Linked DNA regions of Schizosaccharomyces pombe. The protein of the gene in region 1 interacts with the protein of each later gene in a pairwise test. Each region holds a gene or a part of one and is shown in the gene's direction. Other genes may lie near its edges. The genes, in order: sec62, man1 and sad1.

Region 1 (4,111 bases):
TAATCTTTCTACTAGTGCTCAAAGTGATTCTTCAAATATCGTTAAAGCCACTGAATGCCCAATTTGTGGGCTGGAATTACCAAATTTGTCAGCATTAAATGATCATCTCGATGTTACTCATTTCAATGATAATGAAAAAATCCACAAGCGACAAGATTCCATTAATTCATGGCTAACAAGGACTTTAAATGGTGCTTCAGCTCTGCAAATGAAAGCCGCTCAACGTCTTTGGAGAATGGAACCATATGAACAGAATGGGGATTCATCAGGTGCTGTCGGCCTTGAAGCAACTAAGCTCACAGATTCCTTGGTTGTCAAAAATCACTGGCAACCAGAGGTTCCTGACATGGTCTGCCATGACCCGATGTGTGATAAGCTTTTAAATTTCATCAATGGTCATATTCATTGTCGTAAATGCGGTTATATCTTCTGCAACTTTCACTCAATGTACCAGATCAAACTCAGTATTCATGCTACCTACGACTCTGAAAATGGATTTTGGTGTCGTGTTTGTCGAGAATGTTATGAAGGACGTCCTGGGTATAATGATTCAAATGGTTTAATTCGCTCACGTTTTCAAACATTCGAAACTTTTCGAAAACCTTTAGCTGATAAAAGAAGAATAGAGTTTTTAAGATTAAGCAAACGTATGAAAAAACTTGAAGAGCTATGGACATCGGAAAATGTCTCGATGCTTGATGCGCTTCTTTTGAACAAGGCTAAAAGGCTGGAGCAAAGCATCGTTCATTGGCAAGATGATTCCGTTGTACAAATTTGTCCTGAATGCAACAATTCTTTTACTCTAACTAGAAGACGCCGGCATTGTCGGCTTTGCGGACGCGTGATCTGCAGATTCTGTGTATTAGAGATTAGTCTTCCTCAACACCCGCAACCTCTCCTCATCTGTATGAGTTGCAATCAAAATTATTTCCGTAACGTTCTTTATCAAACGGAAAGATCGAAATCACTTGGCTACATCCGACATATTGAACACTTGCAAGTTTTTAGACAGGCTATGGTAAATTACTATCGACTTTACGAGGATTCTTTGTCTGAATTACTAAGTGGTGAAATAATCACTGAAGCGACCCTGAAAATAGTAAAAGATAGACGAAAAAAATTTCTTGAGCTATGTGTGAAATATGATGGAACTATGAAAAAAATCGCCAATCATCCCTCATCCAATGATGCTGAAGAACAATTTAAGCAGAATGTTGTTAATGAAGCAAAAAGATATTTACAAGAAACCATATTGCGTTTGCAGGCCATTCCTTACCATTTGCAGGTTGGCCAAGCTTGGACTTCTGAGTCTGAACGTGAGCTAGAAAAGAAGAAAGAGCAAGTTGAAAAGAAGCAAGAAGAGTTGATGCAAACAAGAATAGTTTTAGAGGAGCAAGTTTTCCTCGTTGAAAATATGATTGAAGATGCTAAAGCGAAACGAAAGTTTTCTGAGGTAGAGACTTTACTCTCCAGTCTTGCACCTTTGCATGAGGAAATTCATTCAATCACTGAAAAGATTCATGACTTGGATCTTTTTGATATTTGAGGATTTTTTCAATAAAGGAAATTTGACTTGTTTAATGATGCTGTTTCACTTTTATGTAATCAAAATTTCCTAGTTAATGTGTTGCGAAGGTTAGTCATATGATGGATGAGTGAATAATTGTATAGATAAATATTTATTGATGAAATGAATTTGAAGACTTTGCTTTCCTCGTCGAACAGCAATGAATGTTATCAATTAAGTTGAATAGGAAGAGCATCTTTTTTAGAGTTAACTTCTGAAGATTAGTATTCCTTAATCAGTGCTTTACTCTCCCTAATAATCAAATATTTTTTTCAAGTGTTATAGTATAATTAAGTTATGAATATGGGGCACAGGCACAAAAATTTAAGACTGAATTAACTTTTTGAACTATCCAACTTTACAAATTTACTTAAAGAATGAATCAATATTCGACAGCATGATAATAACAATGATTAAACTAAATGTAAAATTTATAATATAGATTTTCCCAAATCTATAATACTGAATTTTGATTTTGGCTTTACCTCGTGACCTAAATATCGTTACCTTAAAGACGTGTACAGACTTCATCTACTCCAGAACCACATTATTTTAGATTTTTCCAAACAAGGATTTTGCCTATGGATTCTTCTAATGTACCAGTTTTGAAGGATGAAGACAAGTGCAAGTTTTCGATGCGCTTTACAAACTTCCTCAAGTCTCGCCCTGAGCTGAAAACAAAGCCAGCGATCCTCAATGGAAAACGTGTATACTACTTTCGTGTGAAGCGTGTTCTTCGCTTTTTAACATCCGAAGCGTATACGCCTAAGAAATACAAAGGGTTTCCAGAAATTTCAAGCCGTGAGGAAGCAATCGAAGTTCTCAAATTGCTCATTATGAATTCGATGCTGGTTCGCGTTGATAAACTCCCCCCTAAACAAAGAAAGCAGAAGCTTGTAGAATTACAGATAAATCGTAATCAAGATTTTCAAGACGATATGCATTATGTTTGGCTCTACGAGCCTCTTCCAAAACGCGTTATGGCTTTGGCAGTACTGTTCGCTCTTGTCGTATTGGCACTCGTTTTGTTCCCCTTGTGGCCAATGTTTATGCGCAAGGGTGCTTGGTATTTAAGTATGGGAGGCCTTGGAGTAATCGGTCTATTCTTTGTTTTGGTTATTTTACGTTTTTTCTTATTTTGCATTACTGCTGTCATCGTGCGCCCTGGCATTTGGCTATTCCCCAATCTTCTTGCCGACGTTGGCTTCTGTGATAGCTTTAAACCTTTATGGAGTTGGCACAATTCCAAATCTGAGGTAAAGAAGACAAGGAAATCCAAGAAATTGTCAAAAAAAGCCACTTCACCAGCTGCTTCTGCAACTCCTGAAAAGTCTTCTACGTCCACCACTTCTTTAAAGAATTTAAGGCACAGAAATCCTACCGTCGAAGAAGTCTCTGAATAAAAATTAATTGTTGTACCGTTGATGAATCCAGTCACTCAGCCACTATTACTTACTTTAAAAAAAAATAGTGCATATCTTTACGTTATCAATTCTCCTTATACAATTTATTTCGTCTATGTTTTCGGAGAAAGGTTCTTTGAGATTCTAAATGTGTTTTCCAAGAAACCTTGGCGTTCTCATTTTATGCCCAAACGTATACATATATAATCAGTATATACTAAATGAGGACACTAAATTCTTTTGTGTTTCTTATTGTTACGCATTTTAATTACGGCAAGTTTGTCAGTCAATGAATATTTACTCTTATTGACACACAATTCTTGCTTAACCCATTTATATGAAGCGTTTTAATTTATGTACCACTCCTGGTAGGTGGTTTGATAATTCCCTTATTCTTTTAATCTCAATTTATAACACATTTGAGCGAAATTACTAGATTCTTAGCTTGCTTTTCTCCTTTTAAAGCTAGTATAGCATTTCCTCATGACACAAGGAGTGCATTCTTACTATAGTTGGCTGATCACATAGGAGTGATTATAATTACAAGTTCACTAATATTCATGGTATAAATTGTCATCATATCATATGATATTTAACTTCATATCAATAAATTTTACTTTCCATATTGAATATTTTCTCAATTCTTTAGTGTATAGTGCGTTTGCTGTATATTTCGTTAACCAGACATCGTCATTCTAAGTCAACTCCCACTACCTACTAATTGCAGGGCATTTTAAAAAAACTTGAATTTTCAAGGTATCCCTCAATCATATAGGGTAATACATATTATTTTTCGTTGATTAAGTGCATTTTATTGACGTGAAGCTTTTAAAGCCCTTGGCGTTGAGGATTTTGTAAATATTATACTAGACTCTAACACCACAATGTCCAACGTTACTGAAAATAAACATGACTTACACGAAAACGGGGTACCAGATTCTGCTCAGCCAATGGAATTGGATGTTTCTAAAAAGGAGGACACTGAACCAGAAGTCAGAGACGAGGCCAAAGAATTTTTGTTGAGCCAGTTACCACAAGTAGAAGTCCCTGAGTGGGCGCAATGGTTTGATTTCTCTAAAGTTCACGAAATTGAGAAAAAACAAAACCCTGAGTTCTTTGATGGAAAAAATACGTCGAAAAC
Region 2 (5,722 bases), 1.6 Mb from region 1:
CGCTATTTTATGCTATTTATTAATTCTTTCTGTTCTTACTGTGAAAGATATTTCTTATATTCCACTTACGTTTGAACTGAGGCTCTTGCTGTATTTTAACTTACGGCTTGCAGTATCAATATAACTATTGCTACTAGAAATTACCTTTAGTCTACGTATTCCATTGAAGCTCTCCGAACGCATCATCTATAGGAAGTTTATTTCTTTTGGAACGGCAAATTTGCCAACTTCTTGTCTGTGAACATATTTTTGTGATTGTATTCTTTCTTCTCAATTCCTTTATTTCATGCTAAGTTGAGCTATTTGATTTCATTTTAGAGCATATACCGGTACATAACTTATTAAATTCTGATTCCATAACAGGAGTGGAATTGATTTACTAATTCTCGGAGTACATTTATTGTAAATTTGAGCATCTCTATTATTTTGGCTTATTTTAGTTAATTATTGACTGTAAACCAACAACATGACTACATTACTGGAAACACCTGGATATAGTGAAAAACTTCATGATTCGATTGAAAAAAAACTTTCTGAATATGGGTGGGGAGAAGAGGCTGCTTCTCTGGCCGATTTTGTTCTTGTGATGCTTAGCAATGGAAAAACACAAACTGAAATTAATGAAGAACTAGTTGATTTAATAGGGTCCGATTTTGATACTAGCTTCTCACTTTGGTTATTTAATCAAATTGAAGAGCTTGAAAAATCAAAAAATGCTTCAGTTGAGTCAGTCAGCAAGATCGACGAAATCGATTTTATCGAGAAGGAGTCAACTGACAAGTCGCAGCAATCTTTCTCTGTGCCGGAAACTAGCATACAACCTCAATCTTCTCAAACTCCTAATATAACTTCGTTACGTGAAGAGAAGGAGCTACCTACTGGGCGTGTCGGACAAAAGCTCAAACTTACATCTCAGAAACAGCGATTCAATCCCATGGCAGCTTCGTTTAACTACTCGAAATCCGTTATGCCTGCTGCCAAGCGTGCTCTCACTCAAACCCAAGAGGTCCCTTTGTGCAAATATGCCGATAAGTGCTCCCGTGCTAACGTATGTATTAATATCAGATAATTTGTTAAAACTAACTCTTTAGTGTATATTTGCTCATCCGACACCAGCCGCAGCCCCAGGAGAAGGTATGGTCCTGAGCAGTGAAATGTGTGCTTCTGGTAAAGAATGCAAAGCTGCTGATGTAAGTACCATAATAATTTAAATCTAACTATTACTAACGTATACAGTGTGTCAAGGGACATCCATCTCCAGCTACGGTTACTACATTACCACCTTTCATGTCCATGTCAACCATTCCAATTCCTTGTAAATATAAACCGTGTTTGAATCCAGCTTGTCGTTTTATCCACCCGACGAAAAGCAGAAATATGACATGGCGGCCACCCTCTAAAACAGAAGAGACGTCCCTGAGTGAACGTTCGTTTGCTGTTAACGAGTCAGAAGAACAACTTCATGTTCCTTCTGTGTAAATTTAGAGAATTATGATACTATTTCGTGTTCGTATAATTGGCACATATCTACTTTTGATAGTCAAGCCAGGATACTTCGTTTAAGAACATACCTTCTAGAGTTTGCAAACTTGATATTTATTTTATTGTATAGATTGCTAAAACGATAAAGTTTTATTTGTCGCTACGTTTGCTGCAATCGGCAATTATCAAGTCGCTAAATTGATTTAAAAAATTTGTTTTCGTTATATTGATGTCTTTTTAGTGAATGAAAATTTTATTTTGATGTGAATTATGCAAATAATGATTTATTTACTTCTTCGGTTAAGTTAATATTATACATATTCAAATACCCACGTTTGTTGACATTCATTACTAAATACATCTTATGTTACTTGTTGGTTACTTGGCTTACACCATGTTGTTGACAACAATCACTTGGTATTTACATTCGCCAGTTTTACGTCTATACACATACCCTTTAGTTAAAAGGTTTTTTTTAATTGAATGGAGGTCCCTTCTTATTTTGACCCCGATTATGATCCTTCGTCTCTTCGAGTAGTAGATTTGCGTAATATATTAACTGAATATCAAATATACTATCCGTCAACGGCGAAGAAAGCGCAGTTAATCACGCTTTTCAGTAAACTACGAAGGGCAAAAAATGGCTTGATCTCTATGACAGAATTGCAGCAAAAGAACGTTCCTCCGTCTTCTCGTAGTCCTCGTAGAAGGGTGGCAGGGGTTACGAATAATGTTACTGCTCGAATTAGCTCTAAGAGAAAAATAAATATGGTTGACGAGGCTAATGATACAGAAATTTCTAAAACTTCACAATTTGAAGATAATGTGATGGGGATGTTACAGGACGAGAACGTTCAAGTTTTGAATACTAACACGATAACCATTTCAGAAGAATCTGAATTTCATGCCTCAAAGATTGCCAAAATAGATTCGCGAAACGAAGAAATAACACATATACCATTTGAGACGCAAACTGAGCTTAATGCGGCAGTTGTAAACCTCGACAACTCAATGGAATCGTCTTTTTCAATTGTCCAGAATTTAACAAACAAGGATTCTTCTGTAGACACCGCTACTTACGATTTTTCTGCAGAAGTTGGTAATATCGTAACACCTGCTTCAAAGTTTTTAGACTATGATCAAAGCTATCTTGTTAATGCCTCCGTGTCGGGTGATCCAACGCCAGTAAAGGTATTGAACACGACGTCTCCAAAAAGCGAAAATCCATTGAACCAAAGTTCTTTTCTCAGTTTCTTAGGCGAAAACCTAAAGCCTAAGTTTACCTCCCGTTCGTCAAGCGTTTACGCTTCTCCTATCAAGTCGTCGTTGAATTCGCTTGAATGTAATCCAAGTAACCTTCTTTCAGTCAGAAAAAATTTTCAACAAAGTTCCGACTCTTATCTCAAATCAAACAAGTCATTTGACCAACTCAACAATTTGGTTGGCTTGTCTACTGGTAATTCGGAGAACTTCACTCCAGAAAATAACAGTTTTTCATGGACTCATCCCAAAAAGAATTCATCATCACCCCTTCCTCAATCTCAATCTTCCTCAATTTTTGTAGAACACCTAAATCAGCTGTACGAAGCAAATGCATCAATTCATCGTCCTGTCAACCCTGCGTTTTCTACAAATTTTGGGTTAGAAGCATCTAATACATCGACGCCAGAGAAGAAAAAATTTGATTCCCAAAAACCCGACGATGATTCGGTTAATGAGATTTCTTCTGATCTCGGTCTTAGTACTACGGGTATTGATCGCGTGGAGGAAAATATTTCCTTGACTAAGGATAGGCAACCTAAAAGGCCATACTTTAGTCTTGGTTCATTCATTTCTTTAATTTTCTCTTTTACCAAAGTGGTAAATTCCTTATGGCTTGTATTGCTTGTCGTACCTCTCTTGGGATTTGTAGGCTTTTGGCATCAAGAAGTACAGCGCGTTGGCTTCTGTGGAGTTCCTGCCGAACCTTATCCTTCTAGTCTATATTATCTCCAACCAGGAGTTTTACGTTCCTCTATTGAGTCTGCATATTCATTTGCTCACTCTTTAGGAATTGAAGCCTCTTGTCAACCTTGTCCTGAGAACGCTGAATGTGGTTTCAATCGTCAGTTATTTTGCAAAGAAGGATTAAAGGCTTCGTTTCCTTTACTTGCAGATTTCGGCTTAAAACCATACCCACGATGTATTCCGAATACCGTGAAGGTTAATAAGGTTGAAGAGATGGTGCAGGCATTTATGTCTATTATCGGAAAGTGGTACTATAAAGCCCCTAAAGAATTTGCCACTTTTGAAAGTGCAAAGAATTTAAACGGAAAATCATTTGTTGACAATTTTAAGGATCGATATTACATGTATAAGCAGGACATCGATAATGTAGTCGGACTTAAAGATTTTAAAGTATATCTGAAGACTACTTTAAACCGTCTATATAATTCAAAGCTGACAAGAAAAGTACTATATTACTTATTTTCTCCACTATTTACTCTTGAGCTATGGAAGCTCCGAGTACGTGGGGCATTGAGTAAATTTCCGACTAATTGTTTGCGATCTGTCTACTCTCATACAGTTTCCTTAATGAAGTATTTGACTTCAGCAGTTATATCCTGTTGGCGAATTTACTTGTTGATTGGTATATTGGCAGCTATTACCGGTACCGTTGTATGGCGAATAAGAGTCTATGCCAAGAAGCATGTAGTAAAGCATGGAGTCTCCGTATGCGTTTCACATTGTATTGCTAAGCTACAAAAAACCAAGCTAAAGTCCTTGACAGATTTTTCTGTCAATCCTCGTGTAGAAGTCGTGCAGCTACGTTCTGACTGTTTTGTATCTGGAGTCGCAGATGACAAGGGCCTTTTTGAACTTGTACATCTCCCTTTGTCAATTCAATTAGAAATATGGGAAAAGGTGGTTTCAGTCCTTGAAGGAATGGTAAGCGTAAAGGTATGGGACAGTGAGCGCTTGGCAAAAAATCGTGCTTGGGAATGGATCGGGGTTTTTTCAGATGACATTGCCTTATAAAATACGGTTAGATATATAAAAAATGACCTTAAGGTCAAACTTTATGAATGTCGTTTGGCATGATGATTTATGAATCTAGATACGAGTGCAGCATCAGTAGGTACTATTATGTCAACATTATTTTCCTCACGTTAATATAATTATTTTTTAGTTATTGCACTTTGTTAAGCACAGGAGCTTATAGATTGAAACACTATCGAAAAATTTAATCAACAGATTCGAAAATTTCATTAATTTAACATTGGTTTTTCTAATTAAAAAAAGAATATCAAATTTAGACCCGAACCGTTTGCATTAGCTGTCTAAAAGAGCATTTCAAATTAGCATTTGGCATCCGGCCTCAATGAAAATAAAGAGTTCCATGTGACAGTTCTTATTTTGAAGGGTTCTGGCATGTTTGTAAAAATTCAATGCCTCGACGGTATTGAACGGTACAGTCTAAAACAGGTCTAATACACTTTTAGAGTTCTAGGACTAAAAATGAACGATAAACAAGGGCCATAAAATGCTCCAAATCAAACAAAAGCCAAACTCGCAAATTGAATTATCTTTATTGCAATATAACTCTAAATACGCAGAAATATGAAATTTATAGAATATGAAATTAAAATAGAATCTGGGAAACTCAACAAAGAAATAATTAACACGTTTAGTATAAGATAAAATAGTAAAGACAAATAAGAAAGATTAATGCAATGCACTTGCTACGAGATTTCGTAAAGCTTTACAAAGTAGTTCAACATCGCCAGAGTAACGACCGGAAGCATAGAAAAACTTTTCGTCCGAATAAACCCAGTGAGCAGTTTTGGGCCCTGGTACGTATTTCGATTCAGGAATATAAGTATAAGTATAAGCCGGAGGATTAGATGCGCCAAATAAATAAGACGCTCTTTCCATATAAAGTGGAGTCGTAGTCGATTTAATCTCAAGATTGGGAGCAGCCCGCTGAACAGCGATTGCTCCTTGAGCCATTGTTGCTAAAACGCGGGTGCCACTAACACGGGCACATAAAGGTATATAGTCAGCTAACAATGAACTGAGACGAGGAGACTCTACAAGTTCTAAAACAGCGGGATCCTGCCCTCCTGGCACATAAACCAAGTCAAAGTTTTCAAAGGTAAAGCTCATATCAGACATATTTGAAGGACTTAAAAATTCTTTGGTAGTTGACATTCTTTCATAAATATCCTTAGTCTTGTATGTGGCACCGATGAACCAAGAT
Region 3 (5,536 bases), on another chromosome or scaffold:
TTAGCTACACACTAGCAATGGCTCTAACATATTAACATCTCTTACTACACTATGGTTCACTGGTTTTAACCTTACAACAAGCTCTAACCCAACTGTAACTTATAACCTTACAATGGCTCTAACCTGACAGTAGCTTGTAACCTAATAGCGGCTCGTGAACCTACCATAACTAGTGTGCTTTGTTACAAATCGGTGAATAAAGTAATTTTACTATTACCGTTTAGGAACATACTCATACAACTGCTCTTCGGCGTTAATATTGCGGTCCGACACGTTGGTTAATAAAACTATCTCCTCCGGGATTTCCTTGCTGTAGCCATTACGATATGCGACGTTGATTCACAAGATGTTGCATTATAGCATCCTGACTTGAACCACCTGCAAAAATTTTTTTCATTCTTAGGCGTTTGTTTATTTACTCACCACCCACAGGTGATAATTTGCTATTCACGTTGCACTGCTTTACTTACCGAACGGATCAATTCCACATAGCGAGAGATATCGTAAACGGCAAACAATGTCTGAATTTTCATATGAGTTATTCCACATTGTCAGCTCTATCTACTTTGATGGATCACAAGTTTTCCCGGATTTTAGGGTTGCTCAATAAGCTAACATCGGTTTCGGCCCATGAATGATGTCCAGCGCATGGTTTCTCGTTTGTGTCGCAACACCTAGTCCTGAAGTAGCTGAGTGAGTGTATAAGGTACAGAAATGAAATGAAGTCGTGAGATGAATACACAATCATGAGACATACTTGGCGCCACGTTGAGTAATTGAAATGATTGAACCTTTTTTGACGGTTGGTTGAGCAGATTGATTATTGAGGTTTTATTTATTAGGATTCATTATGTAGCGCACAGGATCAAATACTAGGTTGTGCAATACTACTCGACATTGCCTCAATTCATTACTTTCGCTAGCCAAAAAAACAATACGGGCTAATTGGAAGTTAAACGTGCCATAAATTTCGTCCTTGTTGAAATACTGACGTTTTCAAAGTTACGCATAGCTTGTCTTTGATTCCTTATATACAACATTGTGCAGTTTCTGTTGAATGTAGTGAAACCAAGCGATGAATAAGCTCAAAACATGAAAATTTTTCGTTTCATTTTTTTTTGACAGGACCGTATCAGTGTCGCAGTAAAATGGGATCCTAAGTATGCAAAAACAAGCAGTTAGTTAGACAATTTATGGTTGCGTATTGCTGCTACCTTCGCAATCGGCACAATATTCAAGCAATTTGAAAGCGACTGAATGCCCGAATTTCATTGGCTATATGATGAAAAGCGAAAATCCTACTTTGACGAACTATAAAGTATAATATTCAGCGGCAATGTTGTATTAAACAGTAGAAAGGTTTATTAAAGGTTTATTAAATGTTTATTTACTCAATTGATCATTGTTGAAATTTGCTTTTGAAAATCATTGGCGTAGATTCTCGTGTCGATGAAATGTATCCCTAACAAACGCAAAAACGTTTTTTCAATGCCTAGAAATTGAAGTCGTTGAACTACTACTACAGCAAAATGCCAAATCTGTTTACTTAACTGATTAAAAGTGAAACGATACTGAATACTTTTGATTTTTCAAATAAATTTGGTAGCATATGATCGGTTTCTTGTTCTTTTTCTTTAAAAATTGGAAATCTAAATGCAAACGAAGTAATATTAATAGTGGTAAAAATATTAATAGGTATGGAACTTGCTATTTTATAAGGCTGCTTTATTACTTGAATCCATCAAACTTCTCACTTCACTGAACAGTTTTGCCATGCTCTCACGAAAACTCCTAAATTACCAAACCTGTTTTTTATATAAACACGCGAATTGCTGGATTTGGATCCTATCAGCTTCAAGTACTTAATTCATCAGCGTTCAAACCCTCTTGTATTAACAGTCTACCATTTTTATTCATCAAATATTTCTCGCTTTATTTCCATATATTATGTTATGAATATTTATCGATTGTCAGCGATATATAACGTAGTAAATTCTTAGTGTATACACTTACCGTAAACACAACAAAACTCTTTCTCAGCAGTCAATCTTCGTACCGTCCATTTCTAGTGTGTTTATCTTGGTATTGTATCCTTTATTGTTTGTGAAGGAATTTTCCAGTATTGGAATTGGAATGATACCTCAAGAAAGGTATACTCTGCTAGGGTAGGATCAATTACATACATTGTGTGTATAGGTATCTGTTTTCACATAAAAAAGGCGTCAACGATAATTCGTCTGTTATTAATAATTTATACATTCGCATAAAGCGATCAAAAAGGCATTCAATTACAGAATCCTACTTAAGCTTCACTTTTTTGAATACGAACACTAATTCAAATTCTCGCCTTCCAATACTCTCTTTTCAATTTTTGTCTCTCTTTTTACATATTTATTTATCACTGATTCGTTTGTATATTTTTCTTTTAATTTTCAAATAGCCTTTTATACATCAATGTTTACTAATACACCGGTTGGAGGGAAAAGAGAGCGTCAAAATGGCGCTCATCCAGCTTGGTCGACGTTAGGAGCGAACTCTGCTCAGATTCATCAAAATACGGCTGATTTGGCCTCCAAAATGCATAAACTTCGCTATACAAAGATAAGGTCCCCTCCTACCAGGGTGTCCATTGAATCAATTACTCCTAAACAAAGATTTCCAGCTCCCAATTTCGAACAGGCTTACCACTCTAATATTCGATACGAGCAAGAGGAATCTGATAACGAAGAATTTGAAAACGTAGTGAAAAATGGACACGAAGCTTCGACGAATGTATTCTATGAATCAGATGGAGATGATGAAGAGTTTGTCAATGAAGAATACGAAAACAGCATCGACGAGGAAAGTGATGATGAAGGGTATAGCTTGAACGAGGATACCACCGCAACAAATGCCAGTTTTAGGTACCCGATGAATCAAAGATCTACAAGGAAATCTCAATTTTATTCCTCAAAATTTAAACCATTACTTTGGTTCGGTATCACTCTCTTTTCGACTCTCCTAATAATTACTCTACTTCACAAGGGTCAAGAATTTTACTCAAGATCATTTTCATCAGATAATTCCCAACCATCTAATTCGCCCGTACCAAACATTCCTCCTGCATCCAATGACACCAAAACAAGTTTAAAGCCAGATATTATTAAAGACTTCACAGATTCACCTTCTAAAGTTGGCGGCAATGAGGAATTCGATTATTCGACGGGAGATTTAATTACAAAAAAGGAATTTGACAAGATTTTACAACAAAAAGTAGAGCAATTAAAACAGTCGCTAAAGGAGGAGATGTCTAATTACAAATCATCGGTCCCATTTGAAGTTGAACTAAATGACGATTGGAAGTTCTTCATCGAATCTACGGTTCGAAAATACTTGACCGATCCGGTTTCCATGCCGAATTTTGCATTGCTCTCAACAGGAGCGGAAGTACTACCTGCCTTAACCTCAAAACGCTATGTGAGACGACCATCTGCATTCATACCACGATTTACCTCCTATTTCTTTGATTCGCTCGTTGTTAGAGGACACGAACCTAGCATAGCATTAACTCCCAACAACGCAGTTGCGATGTGTTGGAGCTTTCAAGGTTCAGAGGGACAATTAGGAATTTCCCTATCACGCCCTGTATATGTAACCAATGTCACAATAGAGCACGTTCAGCACAAGATTGCTCATGATCTTTCTAGCGCTCCCAAGGACTTTGAGTTGTGGGTTCAGGGAATGTCCAGCAAGATGTTTGTATTGTTGGGAAAGGCGAGATATTCTTTAACGGAAGACTCTATTCAAACTTTTTCGTTTGAATCCTCCAATTATATTGTCGCTGAACCGATACAGAATGTGATCTTAAAAATAAAAAGCAACTGGGGAAATCCCAATTACACATGCTTGTATCAAGTTCGAGTTCATGGGACTGTACCCAATGCAGACGAACAACCAATACCTTCTTTAGGTGAGAAAGCCGAAAGTACTGCAGAGAATACGGGTCAAGATTCATCTTAAAGACCTACAAAATGTAAGATATAAAAATAATCTAGCCTGGAATGGTTTGAAGATCATAAAAGAGCGATTCTCTTTTTCGATTTTCCTCATCTGCTTCCTCGAGCATCAATATCTTTCCCACTGTTTCTGGAGGATTTAAATTGAAGTTTTTTGCACGTTTCCAGCGTTGCATCCTTGTCATACCAAGATATGGTCCATATCTTGCCGTAGTGTCAAAGTGATGCAAAATGAACTCTACTTTGGTTATATTTTCACAATGTATTGGTTCACTAATCCTTTCAGCCATAATTTGATTCCAAGCCTCTTCTACCTCTTTTGAAAGCTCATCGTCTTCTTTAATTCTCTCATCCAAGGTTTTGGTTGTAATTGTAACATCGGGTGTAGGCGACTGTTCAGAACTCACTTTCTTCCCTATGTGGGATTGACTTGAATTACTTCGAACTACATGTGGAAACACGTCGCGAATATTAGTGTTTTGCCCTGATTTTTTCGCTTGAGTAGTGCGCTTCTTCATACTGCGTGATATAATTCTGTAACACTGCGGTACTAGAATGAAAGGTGCACTATAAATCCAATTCTTTTTCGTGTTTACTCAATTTAGAGCATTAGTTTGTTTGGCCAAAAGAAATCTCTGAAAAAGTACATTTGGTTGCAAGTGTACTTTTAATATGTATATATAACTTTAGATGACTACTATAGCGATGTTTAAAATGCGTCACGCTGACGAGAAAATAAGTATCCAGCCATCCGCTCGTTCTTTATCGTTATACATATATCAGCCTTCATATATATTATTATTCATTTAGGTCCAAGTATTTAAGTGCATTATTGATAATTATTAAAATAGAAACTTCTTGACGACCCCTATTTCGGTATTTCTAGTTCGTTGTTGGAGCAAACAAGAAGTAAACAATACTCGTTATTAGTTCAGATAGTATTGTGGAAATTTCATAATTAGATACAAGTATTTTAGCAATACGTGTTGTCTTAATCCAGCCTTGGTCATGCAATTGAATCACTTGCCAGCCTTCCTAACATATCTTTAATACGTTTCTAAAAAGGGTTTTGGTCTTTACCGATTTAAAATAGGCAATTTCGTAAATGCAAATAGATATACTTATTAACATTTTCAAAATTTAAAAAATTTATAGTTAAATAGCTTTGAGTATTGCAAAATTTGTCTTTTGTGCTTTGCTAAAACAGCGTAACTTTTTACACTGCAATTGAAGCACAAAGACAGTTGAAACTTCAATTCCCTTACAGCTTTTAGTAATTTAAGTATCTAGTTTCATTAAGTTGTCTTTTTTTAAGGGCTTTTAAACTGTTAGTTATACAGTGGTAAACAAACTGACCGGGCTTTCTCAATGATTAAACTGCACTATCATTAAATACAGTGTAGTCAACCAAATTGTTATATTTTTTAATGCAGTCGATAAATTTACATAATGCTTTCAAACGTGAAAGACATCCTTCGTAAATCAAAATTATTGAATTTGTTAATTGTCCCTATGCTGCAAATAGTGCACAGGTAGTTTGT

The links.
Region 2: the proteins of sec62 (region 1) and man1 interact in a two-hybrid assay, tested with the Schizosaccharomyces pombe proteins (2 studies listed by BioGRID).
Region 3: the proteins of sec62 (region 1) and sad1 interact in a two-hybrid assay, tested with the Schizosaccharomyces pombe proteins (2 studies listed by BioGRID).

Annotation. Positions count from the first base shown.
Region 1 is NC_003424.3:3,601,944-3,606,054, forward strand, and holds sec62 (translocation subcomplex subunit Sec62), read left to right. Parts: upstream 1-2,131; 5' UTR 2,132-2,148; coding exon 2,149-2,970; 3' UTR 2,971-3,602; downstream 3,603-4,111. Other genes in the region: FYVE tethering component Pep7, read left to right, coding at 1-1,546; SWI/SNF and RSC complex subunit Ssr1, read left to right, coding at 3,855-4,111. UniProt on the Schizosaccharomyces pombe protein: Acts as a component of the Sec62/63 complex which is involved in SRP-independent post-translational translocation across the endoplasmic reticulum (ER) and functions together with the Sec61 complex and bip1 in a channel-forming translocon complex.
Region 2 is NC_003424.3:5,234,562-5,240,283, reverse strand, and holds man1 (LEM domain-containing protein Man1), read left to right. Parts: upstream 1-1,905; 5' UTR 1,906-1,965; coding exon 1,966-4,500; 3' UTR 4,501-5,128; downstream 5,129-5,722. Other genes in the region: poly(A)-binding protein Nab2, read left to right, coding at 467-1,048, 1,092-1,190, 1,237-1,479; SPOM_SPAC14C4.04 (uncharacterized protein), read right to left, coding at 5,188-5,722. UniProt on the Schizosaccharomyces pombe protein: Required for correct meiotic chromosome segregation.
Region 3 is NC_003423.3:2,301,728-2,307,263, forward strand, and holds sad1 (protein Sad1), read left to right. Parts: upstream 1-2,038; 5' UTR 2,039-2,454; coding exon 2,455-3,999; 3' UTR 4,000-4,030; coding exon of another isoform or gene 4,031-4,513; 3' UTR 4,514-4,934; downstream 4,935-5,536. Other genes in the region: DNA polymerase delta subunit Cdm1, read right to left, coding at 4,031-4,513.